3 linked regions of the Drosophila melanogaster genome follow. The protein of the gene in region 1 interacts with the protein of each later gene in a pairwise test. Each region holds a gene or a part of one and is shown in the gene's direction. Other genes may lie near its edges. The genes, in order: Rgl, Dcps and CG42342.

Region 1 (5,831 bases):
ACACTCGAAACCCGTCCCACTGTAGCTCCGTAGCGAATATCGTAAATCAGTTGCGCGCCACGTTCAAACCGCATTCATATTATTCCAGTGACTTTGCGGGTTAGTTGTTGCTGGGCGTTCGATGGCGCTTGGTCTCCGCGGTCTTGGCTTCTAAGCCTCTGGAATGCCAACAATGTGTGCGCGTTCGGTTGTGGTTCATTTTTTATAACTTCGTATATTTTTTTCAACTTTTATTGACCGTTTCATTTACGGGCTACTGCTACTGTCGCACTTTCCATTGAGTTGAAATGGTTTTCACCCGAATGCTTTGTCGCTTTCTTGCAGTTTGGTAACGAAATGGAAAAGAAAACTTGAAATTTGTGTCGATCCGATTGCAAGTTTGGTCGCGTATCTTGCAGATACATCCGCTTGGCCGAGTGAATTGCACAACCCAAATGAAAATAAATAAGTAAACGCGTTACACGTGTCCGCCCAAAGAGTGTGTGCTTTCGAGTCATTGTTCGTCGTTAGCTGTGCCAAGCCAAAATGCGCGTATCCGACAGATACCAGTCATCATCACAATTATCATCAGCATCTACAACACCACCATCGGAAATTGCATCGCACCAGATTTTGAGCAGCACGCACCTTGAAGTAATTGCAGCATCTGGCCATCGTCAACGCTGCAGACTATAATGAGTCAAAATGTGGCCGACAGTTTGGTGAGTAGCTAAACCATTATCTTGTTCATGTACTCTAGTATATAGCAAGCGTAGAAAGTAACAGGGAAATGCATAGAAAGTCATTTTGAAAGTATCTCGCAGAGCACCGAACTTTGTGTGGAGGCTTTTTGCCCAGGTCTGCTAATTATTTGGTCAAATAGTCCGTAGACTAAGTTAATGAAAAATATGTTGCAACATTTTGATTAGAGTGGTGCCGAAAAATCGAATTAAAGAAATTTATAATTTATAATTTAATTTATAATTTTTGTGATATTTATTATCACGATCACAACACAAGAGCGGTTTTTTCGTATGACTAAAGTTTTGGAGCACAACATTTTTCATCTAAATATATATTATGACGTTTACGTTTTAAAATATTATTCTCCATACTTTCTGATAGGGAGAACAGCAATAATTTTAAATAAATTTACTATAGCTTTAAACCGTATTATTTTGACACCAACATCATGAAGCACATTGAGGGTCAATCTTTAATTGATCTCTTTTTCTAGCTTTATATAAAATTCGTTATCAGCATCACCAAGTGCATAACAAATATCAGTGCCTTTTTTTGTATTGAAACTTGTTGCATTCGCTAATTGATCAATTGACGTGCTCATGGTCTCGAATATTTATCCAATGTCTACAAGCAACAAACAAAACAGCAGGCATCGTTTGATTGGCGCTTACGTAAATGCACGTTTTATTAATATTTCTGCTTATTGATTTCCCCGCCAGCTTTCTTTAAATCGTTACCAAATACCAGACAACACTCAGGTATTCCCATTTCCATAATTATGTCATTCCAGTTCACATGTTTGAACGGTTGGTCAAATGATAGCCTAAAAAGCCAAACAAAACATGGAAGAAAATTATTTAAATTTCTTTGTTGGCATTAATCAAAAATTTGGAATAAAATCCTACAGGTTTAGGAGGCCCATAAATTCCATTGATAAATGTGAAGCTATAATGAAGACAAATGCTATTGTGGGGGTCAGTGTAAATATATACCAAAAAATACTAAAATTGACAGAGAGAGTTGAGAGAGAGTTCTGATTAGAAACAAACAAGCCAACAGTCAATTGCTCATCAGAAAAAACATAAACAGAGCGCGAATGGCCAGAGCAAGTAAGATTTTTATGTTTGTTCTGATACGACATATATATACCGTGTATTTATTTTAAGAAACTTATTTATTTATATTTAGCGTGTCAACAGTCACTAGGAAGAAGTTTTAAAGAAATTTGTTTAAATTGATTTAAAAGGCCAAGTTACCATAGTGCAAAAGAAATAAAATCAATTACCAATTCAATGGTAAATTGACAGTTTATCTGGAAAAAGTTCTATTTTAAGTTTATTGACTATAAATTGTGAGAATATGTAGGTGTTTTAAATTCGGAACCAATATTGGAATGCATTGTTAATGTTAACTGTGTTTTTGAACTTGTTCGATGCAACCAATATACCTTCACGCAAGGTGTAAAACCATAGTGGGTGTTTTGCTAGAAGTTCCCACGGTCGAAAACTTGAGTACCTGAGAAAAGCGAACGAGAGAGTGCAATTGAGAGAACGGGGATGCTACAGTTACATCCGTCGAGTAAGAACATCCCCCGAAAATGCTTGCGTTCTTAATGACAGAGAGTGGATCCCCGACAGAGAGAGCGTGTGGGAGAGAGTAAGCGAGAGTTGGATACAGACGATGGGGTTTCGGGCGGTCGTTTGTTCTAAGCGGGCAGAGTTCGTCTTCGACTGTTGTTGGCGGCGGTTGCGTCGCGTGTCTCTCTACCGAGAGCTTTGTGTGTGTGTCTCGCGCGCGTTTTACGCTCTGCGCCCCCTACGCTCCCCTTTTCCAAGTAGAGAAACCCCCGAATGTGAATTTTGTATAATGTTTTTGTAATAACATGGATATCTCATGTTGAGATTTTCAGCCAAGCGAATGAAAATGCAAGCGGTATCCCGAAAATTGCCGTTTACGTGTGTGCGAGTGCAGCATTAGCAAAAGGAAAAGAGATAAAAGTGAAAACAAATAAATAGTAGGGAAGACGTGCTAAAGCACGAGAGCAAAGAGGAGATTGCCAGGCAGACGCATAGACGTAGTGCAACGAACCCTTCTTCGCGGACCAAGGATTCACCACTTACCACTAACCGGAGAACAAATACCAATATTAACCCCCCCACCTCTACTGCTACTGGGTGTGTTTCTCTATGTCCCGTTGACTCATCGTTCCCAGGAAGCTGAACAACGGTATAGCGGCCAGAACACAGAAGCCCAGTACAAAAAAAGAGCAGCAGGAATATCGATTTTACTTGCCTTTTACTTATACAACACCCCCACCACCCATTGAACTGCACTTGGGTGTAAAAATAAAACACCAGAAGCCATTAAAGGAGACGTGTAAATTAAAGCGAACCGACGAGAAGAGGATAACGGATAGGAAAACCCAAGCAGTGCATCCGTGGAAATCTCAGCAACATTTCTCAAGGAACAAAAGCCAATCTCAAATGGTAAAAAAAAACAACGCAATCCATCAGGCCGGATTAGAAAGGAGCGCACTTTAGATCTATTGGTTCTTATCCTGCCCTTACAGTGGTCACTCGAACGTTGATACATTGAAATGTTTTTTTTTAACAATATATTTAAAACAAGTACATCATATTTCTGCAATAAGCAATACATCGGTAACAAACTCCTGATAAGATAAAAACATTAATGGCTTGAATTTTATTACTATTGACCCTCGCCCTTAAATCAACGACATGGATAATTATCGATAATGCGCACCTTTTTTTGTCCGAGAATTTTCAACCCTGAAAACTAGTTGCTGTGTACTTGATCTGGTTTTGTGTGGAGAGGGATTACTGTAGTGTCTTGGTGTCGATTCACAAGGAAATGTCAACAATGATTATGGGCAAAAATGCAATGGTATGGAAACTTTACGCCTAAGTGGAGTCCAGAAATAAAACACCTTCTTTTGGTGGGGAAGGAATAGGAATCGATAAAAGTCGGGAATTTTTTACAAGTTATAAATGAATCATATGGGAACTGCCAAGCTTGGAGAAGCTTTGTTTTGGGAGTTTCGAGAATTTATATGCTAATTAAAAAGCATTCAAAATTGGTATACTTATGCTTGGGAACAAATGGTGTAGGGTATTCTTAAGTGATGTATATAATTTGTTTCGCAGGTGAAAGATAACGAATTAAAGCTATGAATTTAAAGGTGAATCAGTTTGAGATCATTTCAGTTGCAGTCCCAGTTATATTTTCGTTTCTTTATCATCCATTTATGCGGAGTGCCCCTAGAAATCATTTATCAGCTCCCATTGTATGCAAAACAAAAGCTCCGCCCCCCACTTCCTTTACCCACTGGCGAATGATGGGGGAATGCATAAAAAAAATAATTTACGTGGGGAGCTATGCTCAGTGGCTCAAACTTTAGCTTAGGTTGATATGTTTTTGTATTGTTTGCACATCATCTCTGCTGCTGCCCAACGGATGTGGTTTGATAATAGCCGAAAGAGCGGGACAGCTGCTCTGCAGTAGAGACAGATACATATGTACATATACACGTTAAATAAAAGTTTTATTCGGATATGAATTATGGTTTTTGAAATTAAAAATTGCAACAGGATGTGGCATCGGTTGATATTCGTTATGTTGTAATATAGCGAAAAGGAGACATTAGGGATAGAATATCGAATGCCAAGTAATGCCTGTTCTATTATTTCTCATAAACACAAACGATGTAAAATCTTGATGGACCTGTGTTAGTAGGCCGATGCAATTAAATTTGATCATAATTCCCTTCATTTTTTTTTATGTGCACCGAGGGAGCAGCAAATGTTGTCAAGTTGACTGCGTCGGATGCAGTCGCATGTAACTGACAGTCAGTCAGAGTCATTTAGCCAGTCAGTCATTTAGTCAGTCAGTCATTCAGGGATGACAGAGGGAAGGGGGAGAGACTGGTGTTTAGTTTCAGTCGTTTTTTTCCCTTGGCGTTTTCAATTTTGTTTTGCGTTGTTTTTTTTTTGCCGCTGCTTCTGTTGCTGCAATTCACAAAACTCGTGCCAGGGGTCGTCGATTTAAAAATAGAGATTTGTGTCTACAATTGCGGTCAAAATAAATGCCTTTTCATTTTTCAAGACAAGCGAAATGTATTGCTTATTTCGGACACCTAATCTATTGCCGCCAAGAACTAGGAAATTCTCAAAGAACTGTTTTTACATCGATACAAATTGCAATACTTTTACCTATAAATCGAATATCTCAAACGGAATACTATTTTACTATCTCAGAGTCATGTTTCATCATTTAAATATTGATCCATTTCCTTAGATGTATTTTCACTTTTAATCTATCAATATTGTGACCTCAGCTGTATGGCTGTTTGTTGATAAATTCACCCCAAATGCAAATGCAGTACCATTTCGCTTTGATGTTGCGGTTCGACTCTCCTTTGTTTTGGTTTCTGGCTATTTTTGCGAAGATCTGTAATTGAGAGAAACCCCCCCTGGGCGGAAAAGCAGAAAACGCCACCCACACGCTTTTCTGGAGGAAAGGTCACCTGCTTTATATATAGACAGATGATGATGTGGGCCGACCAATCAGGCGCCCCCTCATACTTGGATGTTATTTCTTTATAATTGGGTGCCTTGTATACACAAACACGAATATGTTTGACAATTGCCCGTCGTCTGGCATTATAATACTATATTATTTCATTACTTAATGAGCTTTATTTCTGCCGCAGTTTTTTTTGCACGGGCTGGGTATTTTCTGATGAATCATTCGAACTCAAAAGGTAAAATATCAACCGTATGCAAATCGTCATTTCCTCGCCGAGTTGTGTTCTGTTTCATTCGGTCTCGTTTGGCATTCGCTGTAATAATAATCGTGAATGAAATGAGTGTATTTAGGTTCTGGGGCTTGGTACGAATCGAATGCAATACATATATGTGCATATTGATTAGACGAAGGAATCTCAAACAAAAAGATTTCTATAAGTATGCGCATTGCGCATATTTACAAACATATATGAATATGTACATACATACATATATGGGTCTGGGTTGTTTGGCCTGGAGCTTTGAAGGATTTATTCTAATCAGTTTTCGGTTCAAAGTGTAACT
Region 2 (4,319 bases), on another chromosome or scaffold:
TTATAGTTTCTTCACTATTTAGAACGCTTCCCAACTGGACTGATTTAAAGACCTACAGTCAGAAGTCGCGCCACAACCGAAAACTGCATCGCGGAAGCTTTGAGCCGTCGGAGGAGGAGAGCCCGTTGCAGGTTCAGCAGCGCAACATCCGCGAGGCTGAAATGCTGACCAGTAATTTAGGCGAGGGTGGGATCACCCAACAAGAGATTTTGGTCGAGATCAGTGTGCTTAAGGAGCTGGCCATACTGCAGGAGAGCATGGAGTGGTTTTCGTGCCGAGTGTCGGAATTTGCCAACGACTTACGCCGGCCGTTGGTAAACGGACTTAACGCCGTTCCAGCTGAGTGCGGCGCCGACATTGCTGTGAAGGATGGGACGATCAAAGTGATGACTAATCTGGCTTTGGAGTTTGATGAGCTGGCGAACACCTGCCTGCTGGTATTGCATCTGGAGGTGCGCGTTCAATGCTTCCACTATCTGCGCTCGAAGTCGAGTGTAAGGACCAACAGCTATGTGGGCTCCAAGGATGATATCTTGGAGCCCGACCGCCAGGTGCAAGTTCTGACCAAACGACTGTCTGAGATGGATGAGGCGTTTAGTGCCACTCTACATCCGAGGAAGACCAGGGTAAGTTGAATATTCGTCTCCAGTTGCATTTTGCTCGAACGTATTCTTCTCTAGTACATTTTCGAGGGTCTGGCGCACTTGGCATCGCGCATTCTTATCCAGGCCTCCAATTATCTGGAGCACATAGATCAAATAACCGTGCAGCGCATGTGCAGGAACGCGATTGCCCTGCAGCAAACATTGAGTAACATAACTGCCTCCAGGGAAGTGGCTTTGGATCAGGCGAGACACTTCTATGAGCTGCTTTGCATGGAGCCAGACGTAAGAGTGATTGGCCCAAGTTTTGTAATTCACCTTTTTACTTAGAAACACTTTGCACTTACCCACAGGAAATACTCAATGCGTTGCTGGAGCGGGGCACTCAGTTCTCGGAAATGCAGCTGCTCAATGCCTTGCAGTTGTCCTGCAAGTCCTTCGGCATAACCGACGCCAATCTCCTCGCTTCCTATCAGCAGAAGCTGTCGGACATACTAGGCGCCAAGCCCTCGAAGGGAGTAGTTGTGTAGTTAGCGTGGCAGGCGGCGGGTAAAACCAATTTTAATATCCATACTTTTGTTTACATCGGCTGCAGGTGTAAGTGCAAATTGTATGTTAGTGTTAAGCTCAAAATAATTGCGAATGTTCTGAACATGATTGGCGAGCACTTAGTGTTGTAGCCGTTTGTAAAGATACATATTCTAAAGATCATTAACAGTACTTCAATGGCCTATACACAATAAATGAGAATTCAACAACGATGTTTTGACTGTATTAATTTGCTGCATCTAGTGTATCTAATTTTAACATTTTTTCAACTCAACCGGTTGCTAAACCGTTTCAGCAATGTTATTTAACAGGGTTTGAGTGCTCGCTAAATGGACTTACGAAATGAGTATGGAATTTTCGTGCAGCCCAGTCATGGTCACGCTGCCTCTCTGAAAAGCCGCAAGAAAATAAAAATAAATATATCTTTCTAGCTATTATTATTGTTGTTATTATTAACAAAAATGTCGGAAACAGTTGATAGCACAGAGGTAAAGTCGCCGTCGTACGACTTATCCAAGTTCCAACTGAAGCGAATCCTAACCAACAACAGCGTTAGGAAAAGTATATCCCTGCTTGGCACTTTTCCGGATTTAGGAACCGATGATGCCATTGTTGTTTTCGAGAAAAATGGTATAAAAGCGTAAATGAAAGCAACTAATGTTCGCTACAGTATAATCCTTACTAACCGCAGCGTACCGGGAAAGCGATGTGGCCACGGCGTCATCAGAAGAGTCTCCCAAGAAGCCTAGCTATTTTACCGCGGACCTGAAAGTTGACACTGAGTTTATCAACAATATCTACGGCAGTTTTCAGGTTGTGCCGACCCAGGATTTGTGCAGTAAATATTAGATTCATAATTCATACTGATAAATCATAGATTTTTATCATTCATTTCGCAGGTGTGAAAAGCACAGTCATTTATCCCGCCACCGAGAAGCACATCGAGAAATACTCAGTATCTCAAAAGTATCTCATCCGGGAGACTCCTGATCTCTACCAAAGAATAACTCTTCCATATCTCACCTCAAGTCAATTCTCCCTCGAGTGGGTCTACAACATACTCGAGCATAAGCAGGAGACGGAACGTATCGTGTACGAGGACAGGGATCCAAAGACTGGCTTTATCCTTCTGCCCGATCTCAAATGGGACGGACGCAATGTGGAAACCCTCTATCTGCTGGGAATTGTCCACAAGCGCGACATCAAGTCTCTGCGCGACTTGAATGAAAGTCATCTCGATCTTTTGCGCAACGTGCGCCAAGCGTCGAAGGACGCAATTGCCAAGCTATACGGCATTAATCCCAATCAGCTGCGCATGTACTTTCATTACCAGCCGTCCTTCTATCACCTCCACGTGCACATCAATCCAGTACGGAACGATGCACCGGGCATATGGTGCGAGAAGTCCCACATGCTGGACACGGTGATCAACAACTTGGAGCTGATGCCGGACTACTATCAGCGAGCCACCTTGCCGTTTGTCCTGTACGAAGGCAATAAGCTGTTGGATCTCTATGAGCAGGAGCTACCCATTAGAGCGCTGACAGTATCGAGCGACGATAAGGAGCTCCCTGACTCAGACTCTTTGAACGTCGCTCCACCGGAAGGCTTTAGCGATGAGGAGCCGGAGGAGAGGCAGTGCAAGCGCATAAAGTTGGGCTCGCCGGAGCCCAAGGAGGCCGAGTCCGCTGTTCAGGCGTGTGCCTAAACTGGTATTACTTAATGAGAAAGCTAACCCTAGATGTTGCCTATCAAAAATACATCCTACTTATGATCATTCAATTCAAAATAAAGTTATTTTCAAAAATTTCGTTTGAGAGCACTTGCTGGAAGTACACATTATTAATTGTTATAAAATATTCAGAATATTTCTTTTCGTTTCACACATTTAAAAACAGTCGCTTAAGAGAAAACGATTGAATTCTGAGTACCTCGTGAATAGTTGTGATGCCTCACTGCTTTGACATCATTGTAATGGGGTTCGCAAATAAGAATCATATATACACTATTTAACTTCATTTATTTTTTCATATACAAAAATCACGTCTGATCGCTATGACCGCAAAATTACAAGAGCGAAAGAAAGAATACAGTTCAGTTCAATTAGCATCGATATATAAAATGTTAATCCGCTGTTAAGACAGCTGAAGCACCGGGTGACTCCGCTCATAATCCGTACATGCCGCCCGCCAATGCGTCGTCCAGCATGAAGGCTCCTTGTGATTCTTGATCCGTGTGTTGATCATAATTATGTTGAAATCGGAAGTGGACAAAGCTTTGTGATTGACCTCTTTTGAATGCCAGATTTCGTCTTTAATGTAACCACTCTGACTAGCGAGTCCGATCCAGGGTGCAGTTCGACGACTCGGCCTATAGTCCATTTAGCTGGTGGTAGATTATCATCCTTTATAATGACTAAGTCGTTGATGTTAAGATTATCTTTGATTTGGCACCACTTTGGCCGAGTTTGCAAGTGTGATAACCAATCACGAGACCATTGAGACCAGAATTGTCGCGTCATGTGTTGTTGTGCGAGAAATAGTTCACGCAAAGGCTTATTATTCGGCCGACCTTGTGGCGGTGCCAGTAGTGCGTCACCAATTAAGAAATGTGCTGGAGTTAGTACTTCTAAATCGTCAGGGTCGGCGGTTAGCGGGCAAAGTGGACGTGAGTTCAAACATGCTTCAATCCTGATCAAAACTGTAGTAAGCTCCTCATACGTCTGCTTGTGGCTGCCGACGATCCGTTTAAGATGATGCTTCATTGCTTTCACGTTTGCCTCCCAGATGCCACCAAAATTGGGAGAATATGGAGGTGTGAAATGCCACCTTGTCCCATGTTGACATGTCGATTCGTTTAGGGCTGCCTTGCAAGTGATGGGCTGGTTAAGCGATGTACTCGCGCCAACAAAATTTGTGCCGTTATCACTATACATATGTTGAACTTGTCCTCGACGTCCGGTGAATCGCGTAAATGCTTGCAGGAAGTGCTCTGTTGAAAGTCCAGTGACGGCTTCCAAGTGGACCGCCTTGGTTGCTAAGCATATAAAAATGGCTACATAGCCTTTGTAGGTGGTTGATCCTCGTACACGCGCGGCTTGAAGTTCAATCGCACCAGTGTAGTCAACTCCTGTTGTAATGAACGGACGAGTTGGGGGGTTGACTCGAT
Region 3 (5,803 bases), on another chromosome or scaffold:
CTACTCGTAAAGAAAGACATTACCTCGTATTTACGGTGGAATACGAAAATAAACTTGATTCCGTTGGTAGATAACTTAACTTTGAGTACATATGTATGGTTCTGTGTTTTTGTCTGCCATTTGTTGCAACAATAGAACTCGTGGATAACTCACCCTCTTTGAGCGTGTCGTTGATCTCGGAGAAGGTCAGATCGTCGAAGGTGCGTACATCGAATCCGAATCCCTGCAGCGTCGCCTCCATGTCATCGCGATCCCGTTCGGTGCCCACGCGCTGCTTCTGTCCCTTGACATCCTTGTGGTTCAGGATTAGCGCAATGCCCGCTCGCGCGCAATTCTCGTATGTGTCCTCGTTGGTGGGGCGCGAGATTATGATCCTTTTGAGGTCCAGCTCCGATGTGGGCGTATGGGCGATCTTGGTGGCATCCGCCTTGTCCTTCTTGTGCTTGTTCTTCTGCCCGAAGAGCGAGAAGTCGGTGTCGTCCATTTCTGACCGTCCGCGCGCTTTGGCAGCAACCTGTGACTAAGCGCGATTGGAAGTTTTCACCTATCAAACGACAAAAAAAAGCTCTCGCTCCCGTTCGCCTAACATCTTATCTAATCAATGCAGCCGTCTTATCACCTTGAGCTTGCTGGGGTGGATTCTTCTCTCGCTCGCCGCGGTATTTTTCGGGCTCTTGCCCAACGTTGATTAGCCTGCTCGAGGGGAAGTTACGTTTATTGGTAGCAAAATACAATTCCCTTTGCCATTGCACCAGACAATTTGATTTCCCCGACGGGTTCACGCCCACAAAAGTGGGCGCTCGTCAGGGAAATTGGCAACTTCCGGCGAAAGTGTCGCTGCTACTGGGGATTTCTTAATGTGTTTTCAATAAAATTCAGATGCGCAAAAAAGCGGCAATGGGCGGCAAACTTTGCCACGCAATTCAAAATTTCACGCACACAAAGTAACGGAAACCGGAAATGAGTATGGCGTCCTTAAGTCGAAGGAGTACCGTTATAAAGTGTACCGCAGACTGAGAGAAAGTTCTATACGATTTAGTAATTTATTGTGTAATATTCGAACAGTTAGCTACGGGCATTTTAATGTGATATAAAAACAATATGTCAAAGTTAAGTTAGTTTCAATTTCACTTTAAATTACAACAATATAAAGAAATCTTTTATTGCGGTGCAGCCAAAAAATGTACCTCAGCGCTTAAGAGAGAGAAACATAAGAGAGAGCTGGAAACTTGTGGCGCATAACAACAATTGCGGCTAATTAATAAAGCTGCTCCTACGACCCTGATTGGATGCCAATTATAATTGATATGTAATTACAATTAGCGACATCAATATTTCTGTCAGCTGAAGAGCCAAAAAAAGAAAATGAAGAACAGTGGGTGGGGGAGCAGGAAAGTTGTTTAGCCGGCTTTTCAGAACCAGAACAATCGCCTTTGATTCTCGAGGTGCCTTCCACCGAAAGCAGATGTTGCCCCTCCAGTGACCTGAAATCTGCTCTTATCTTGCAGCTCCAAAAGGTGAAGAGAAAGGAGAGATTTATTGGGGCGGGATTCCGAAAATGCACTTGCTGCTGAATGCTCAAAATGAAATGATTTATCTGACGCACTTTTATGGAATAACAATGCAAAGTTTCACCTGAAATTTATGCATTCCCGTTTCTTATCTTTTTAAATTGTAGGTTCCCGGGGATGTAAATATGTATGTACATACATACATACATTGAAATTTGACACCTAAAGTTTTTTTAATACCTTTGTTATTAACTACATTAAAACAGTTTAATTTACAGAAATAATGTAGTAAACTTATTACATAGGTATATTGAAATCAATCAATTTATTTACAAAACTCGCAATTAGTGCTTCTGCTTATATTTGTAGTAATTAAGTAATTTAAACACTATAACTACGTAATTCTGAGGTCATTTCTGTAAGTGCAGTATACTTACTCCCACCGGTTGATCGTGTTTTTTTGCTGCTTTCTCCGTCTTTCTTCTTTTTTTACCTTACAACAATAATTATTTGTAACAAATTTAGTTGTTTTTTTCAAGAAATGACAAATTACTTTTACTATTTTAATAAATTGCTGCCAATGAATTTCCAATTAGACATATAACATATATAAACAGTTCCTTAAACTCTTAGCCCACTCTTTTAGTTGGCTCTCTTAAGTTCGATACGAACTCGAACTTGCTCGCTTCGAACATGAACCCGCTCGAGCTGAAACCGAATTCAAAACCAAAACAGCGACGCCAAAAGCGTTGTATATGTTGCCCAGTGCGGACGTGTTTACGTGTCGGACAAAAATTCGGGAAATCGGTAAAATTCGCATTTCTGAGGGTCTCGGGCTCCTATCCTCCGGGCGTGTGTTCTTCCCCCGCAACCTTTCCGTTGTCCTTTACATAAGGATAAGCGGGCGATAGAAGAAAATAGAAAGAAGGAGCCAGAATGTTTTGAGCAACAAAAACAACTTCAGTGTTGAATGTGTGCCAAGTGCAAGGAGTTGTAATTTATAGTTGCCGAAATTAAATTATGTTAAGTGCCCCACCAAATCAGTAAGAAGGTGCAGTGAAAAGGAAGCGGCACGAAACAGCAAGCGTGGAAAAGGCGAACATAAAGAGTTAGCGGAGCGCAAAAAGTGGAAAAAAGTATGGTACGTAGAAGGTGAACCAAACAAACTGTTTGATTATAATAAGCGGGGTGCATTAAATCTCATTTAAGACGTGTGCGTGCGCTTTGTATGCAAAAAGGTTGACAAACAAAAAACAACAACAAATTAGGGTGGCTGGTCCGGAGGACAAAAGAAACAAAAACCTTTTTTTTCGGGGCTGCTTCCAAAAGCAAACCACACACACACACGTACATATGTACGTACATGCAGAGAGGGAAAACATAGCCACACTGCGAAATGAAAACGAAATCAAATCAAAAGCAGAAAACCAACAGGCCGCCGAAAGGAACAAAAACACGAAAAAAAATGCTCGGCTAGCTTTTAGGCGAATGCCCTCGCAAAGCGCATAAAAAATAGATTAACAGGCTTGGCAGAAACAAAATAGAACTAAGAAAAAAAACATTGAAATTCTGACGTCGTCACAGGCTAAGCCTCTGCAGCCAAAAAAATAACAGCAGCATAAAAAACCATAACAACAAGTTGGGATGCCAAAAGTTGGGTGCTACGGTTATTGGAATACCGGGTACTTGGATTTCATTAGGCTCTGTGTCAAAAAAAAAACTTTGGGTATTTGGGTGCCATAATATTCAATTAAGTTTTTTAAGTGGATTCCTATGCACCTGTTTGCTGATCTCTTGGATAAAATACCTTTAAAAGGTGTATATGAAATGAAACTTTATTATGAATTTCTATGCAATTTCTATGTTAGCTAATTAAGACTTCTACTTAGGAGTTCTGCGAGTTGTTAACGTGAAACTCGATAACTTAAGACTTAAGCAAGATACAGTCACCAATTGGATTAGCTTATATGTGATAATAACGTGATGTATAAACATCTTCGATAGGTATTCTTCTTTACCGATTTATCTTTGCCCATGTATATAGACTGAAATCCAAGGTATACCGACATTAAGTTGGCAACCAACCAGCTGGCAAGGTAAAAGGCGGCGAAGATTTGTGGCTTCTTTTTTTTGCGCCCCTGCAAATGAAGTTGCAGTGGACATCTAATGAACCCGCAGCTGAATGCGACGCAGGCCCTTAAATTGCGAGCACACCTGAAATATTCAAGATACTTTATGGGAATGCCGCTGGTGGGCCAGAGGCACGCCAGTCATGCCGCACGATGCTCCAGCTGCCCCATCCTCCAAAGTGGAGGTGTAAATTCTGTAGCAGAAACATTCATTTATGAGCGGGCTAAGGTTGCGCTTTTGGCTGCTTATCCCTCGACCCTTTTCCAGTCGGGGCATTCATTCCCCTGGGGCACCTTTTGGCCAAAATCCCTGGAGGGGTGCTCTTACCCGGTTTTATGAACTTCAGCTGAGCAATTATTAAATATGCAAGCTTTTGTAGCTTTAAGATAAGATTGGGTGGCATTTGATGGGTGACTTCTCCTTATTTTTCGGCGAGCCCTTTGATGTTCTTACTTTTCGTCTTCTGTTGAGGGAGGGTGGGTGGCGAAAAATGCGGGAGACAGGCAAACACAAACATTAATTGTAACTGTAAATGGTGTGAAATGAGCGAGTGAGTGAATGGCTGAATGACGACATGAATGGATGCTTAGGAGCGGCTTGAACGAATGAATGAATGACTCTCGAGTGGAGCTGCCAGTGGCAGCAGTGATGCTCTCGCCTCTTTTCAGCACTGAAAATTGCGTTAAGTGGTTGTCATCGTTGGCCAGCGACAATTTTGATGAACTCAACAAAAACACTTGACAGCAGAGCCGAAGATTTTGGAACTGGGGACCAGGCCATGCAATAAACGAAATTATGACGCTAAATTGAACACTAAACGCCCAGTGAGCCGGGGCGAGAGATATATAGTAGAATCAAAGAATAGTCCAGGAAAATACATCAGTAGTTTGGGGGGCGAAAAGGGGTTGGACTGGACTGGAATGGCAACGGGATGGGGCATTCACTTTCAAAAGCATCAGCAGCAGCATCCACTCCGCTTCGAACCGTCCACATTTAACGCGCGAATGAACAGCAATCAGCCGAAATGGGGGATTCGTCGAAAAAAGGGGGCGGGTGAAGGGACTGGTGGGCATGGCTCTGGACCTGGACCGACCGGGAATCGGATGGGCACTCGGACTATTGCTAGCGTGCCAGCCGCCAGTCCGGAGGGTTCATTCAACAATAAAAGTCATGATAGACATGGCAATACGGAAATGCTATTTTTGGGGCTGCCACTGCCTTCACACGGGAATGGTCCACGTCCGCCCTGCGAGCGGAAGGTGAGAATTAAGAAATTAGCGTACACCCAGTATCCACTATCCAGTACCCTCTAACCATTACCCATTACCCATTACCCAGTCGGATGCCCCATTCCCCATCCCCCATCCAGGCATCGAGTGGCGAGTTGGAGCTGCCGGCTGGGAGCCGATGGAGCTGTTCGTAAATTGCCCGCCGCCGCTCACTTTAACTTAATTATATAATTTGTGAGACATCAGCGCTAAAAAAGGGAGACAGGCAGACCAACCAAAAAGGAAACATGACAAAGTTTGTTAGATTCGAAACACTGAAGTTGATATGCCCTTAAAAATGTATATGTTTGTTGTTCAAAATTTAAAACTAGAGAATTTATTGGGTAGAAAGGTTCTTTCAATTATACTGTTTAAAATGTATAAATAACTTGCACGAAAAACTATAGGAAAGTAGCTTATAAACACCTATACTATTTCATTTAGAGATCTATAGATAGATGCAATATTTTATGCATGTTTTGTTTATTTAGTTATTCCATATTTATCATAATTTTCTTACATCTTTAATGCTTCTATTCGGCAGCATATTCATTTATACCGGTTTGGAAATTAGTTCAGGGTAACGATAAATATCGTCTTCATAAGATGAGATGTTCAAATTATTGTTCATGCAAGTAGTCAAACATTTAATCTGTCCAAATATGAAATAATACCTGGAAAATCGGGTTTTGAAATGAGCACAACCTCATTGAAAAGGGATAACTAATTTAGTCATTATTCTAATATTCCTGCTTTAAAACGTATGAAGAAAGACCATAAAAACTCATTTGCAAAGTAAAGATACTTTTTGCTGGTAGAGGAGGGTATACGAATAAGCGGGCTCTGCGGGTTTCTGCGGTGCATTGCAAATTAAATGAGCTGAATGCATTTAAG

What was found.
Region 2: the proteins of Rgl (region 1) and Dcps interact in a two-hybrid assay, tested with the Drosophila melanogaster proteins (one large-scale study listed by BioGRID).
Region 3: the proteins of Rgl (region 1) and CG42342 interact in a two-hybrid assay, tested with the Drosophila melanogaster proteins (one large-scale study listed by BioGRID).

The regions. Positions count from the first base shown.
Region 1 is NT_037436.4:13,916,569-13,922,399, reverse strand, and holds the start of Rgl (Ral guanine nucleotide dissociation stimulator-like), read left to right. Parts: upstream 1-2,434; 5' UTR 2,435-3,206; coding exon 3,207-3,209; intron 3,210-5,831.
Region 2 is NT_033777.3:5,751,971-5,756,289, reverse strand, and holds Dcps (decapping enzyme, scavenger), read left to right. Parts: upstream 1-1,515; 5' UTR 1,516-1,612; coding exon 1,613-1,781; intron 1,782-1,842; coding exon 1,843-1,989; intron 1,990-2,050; coding exon 2,051-2,859; 3' UTR 2,860-2,972; downstream 2,973-4,319. Other genes in the region: Sec8 (secretory 8), read left to right, coding at 23-626, 681-887, 956-1,132.
Region 3 is NT_033777.3:16,500,520-16,506,322, forward strand, and holds the start of CG42342 (uncharacterized protein), read left to right. Parts: upstream 1-2,250; 5' UTR 2,251-2,652; intron 2,653-5,803. Other genes in the region: Decay (death executioner caspase related to Apopain/Yama), read right to left, coding at 154-484.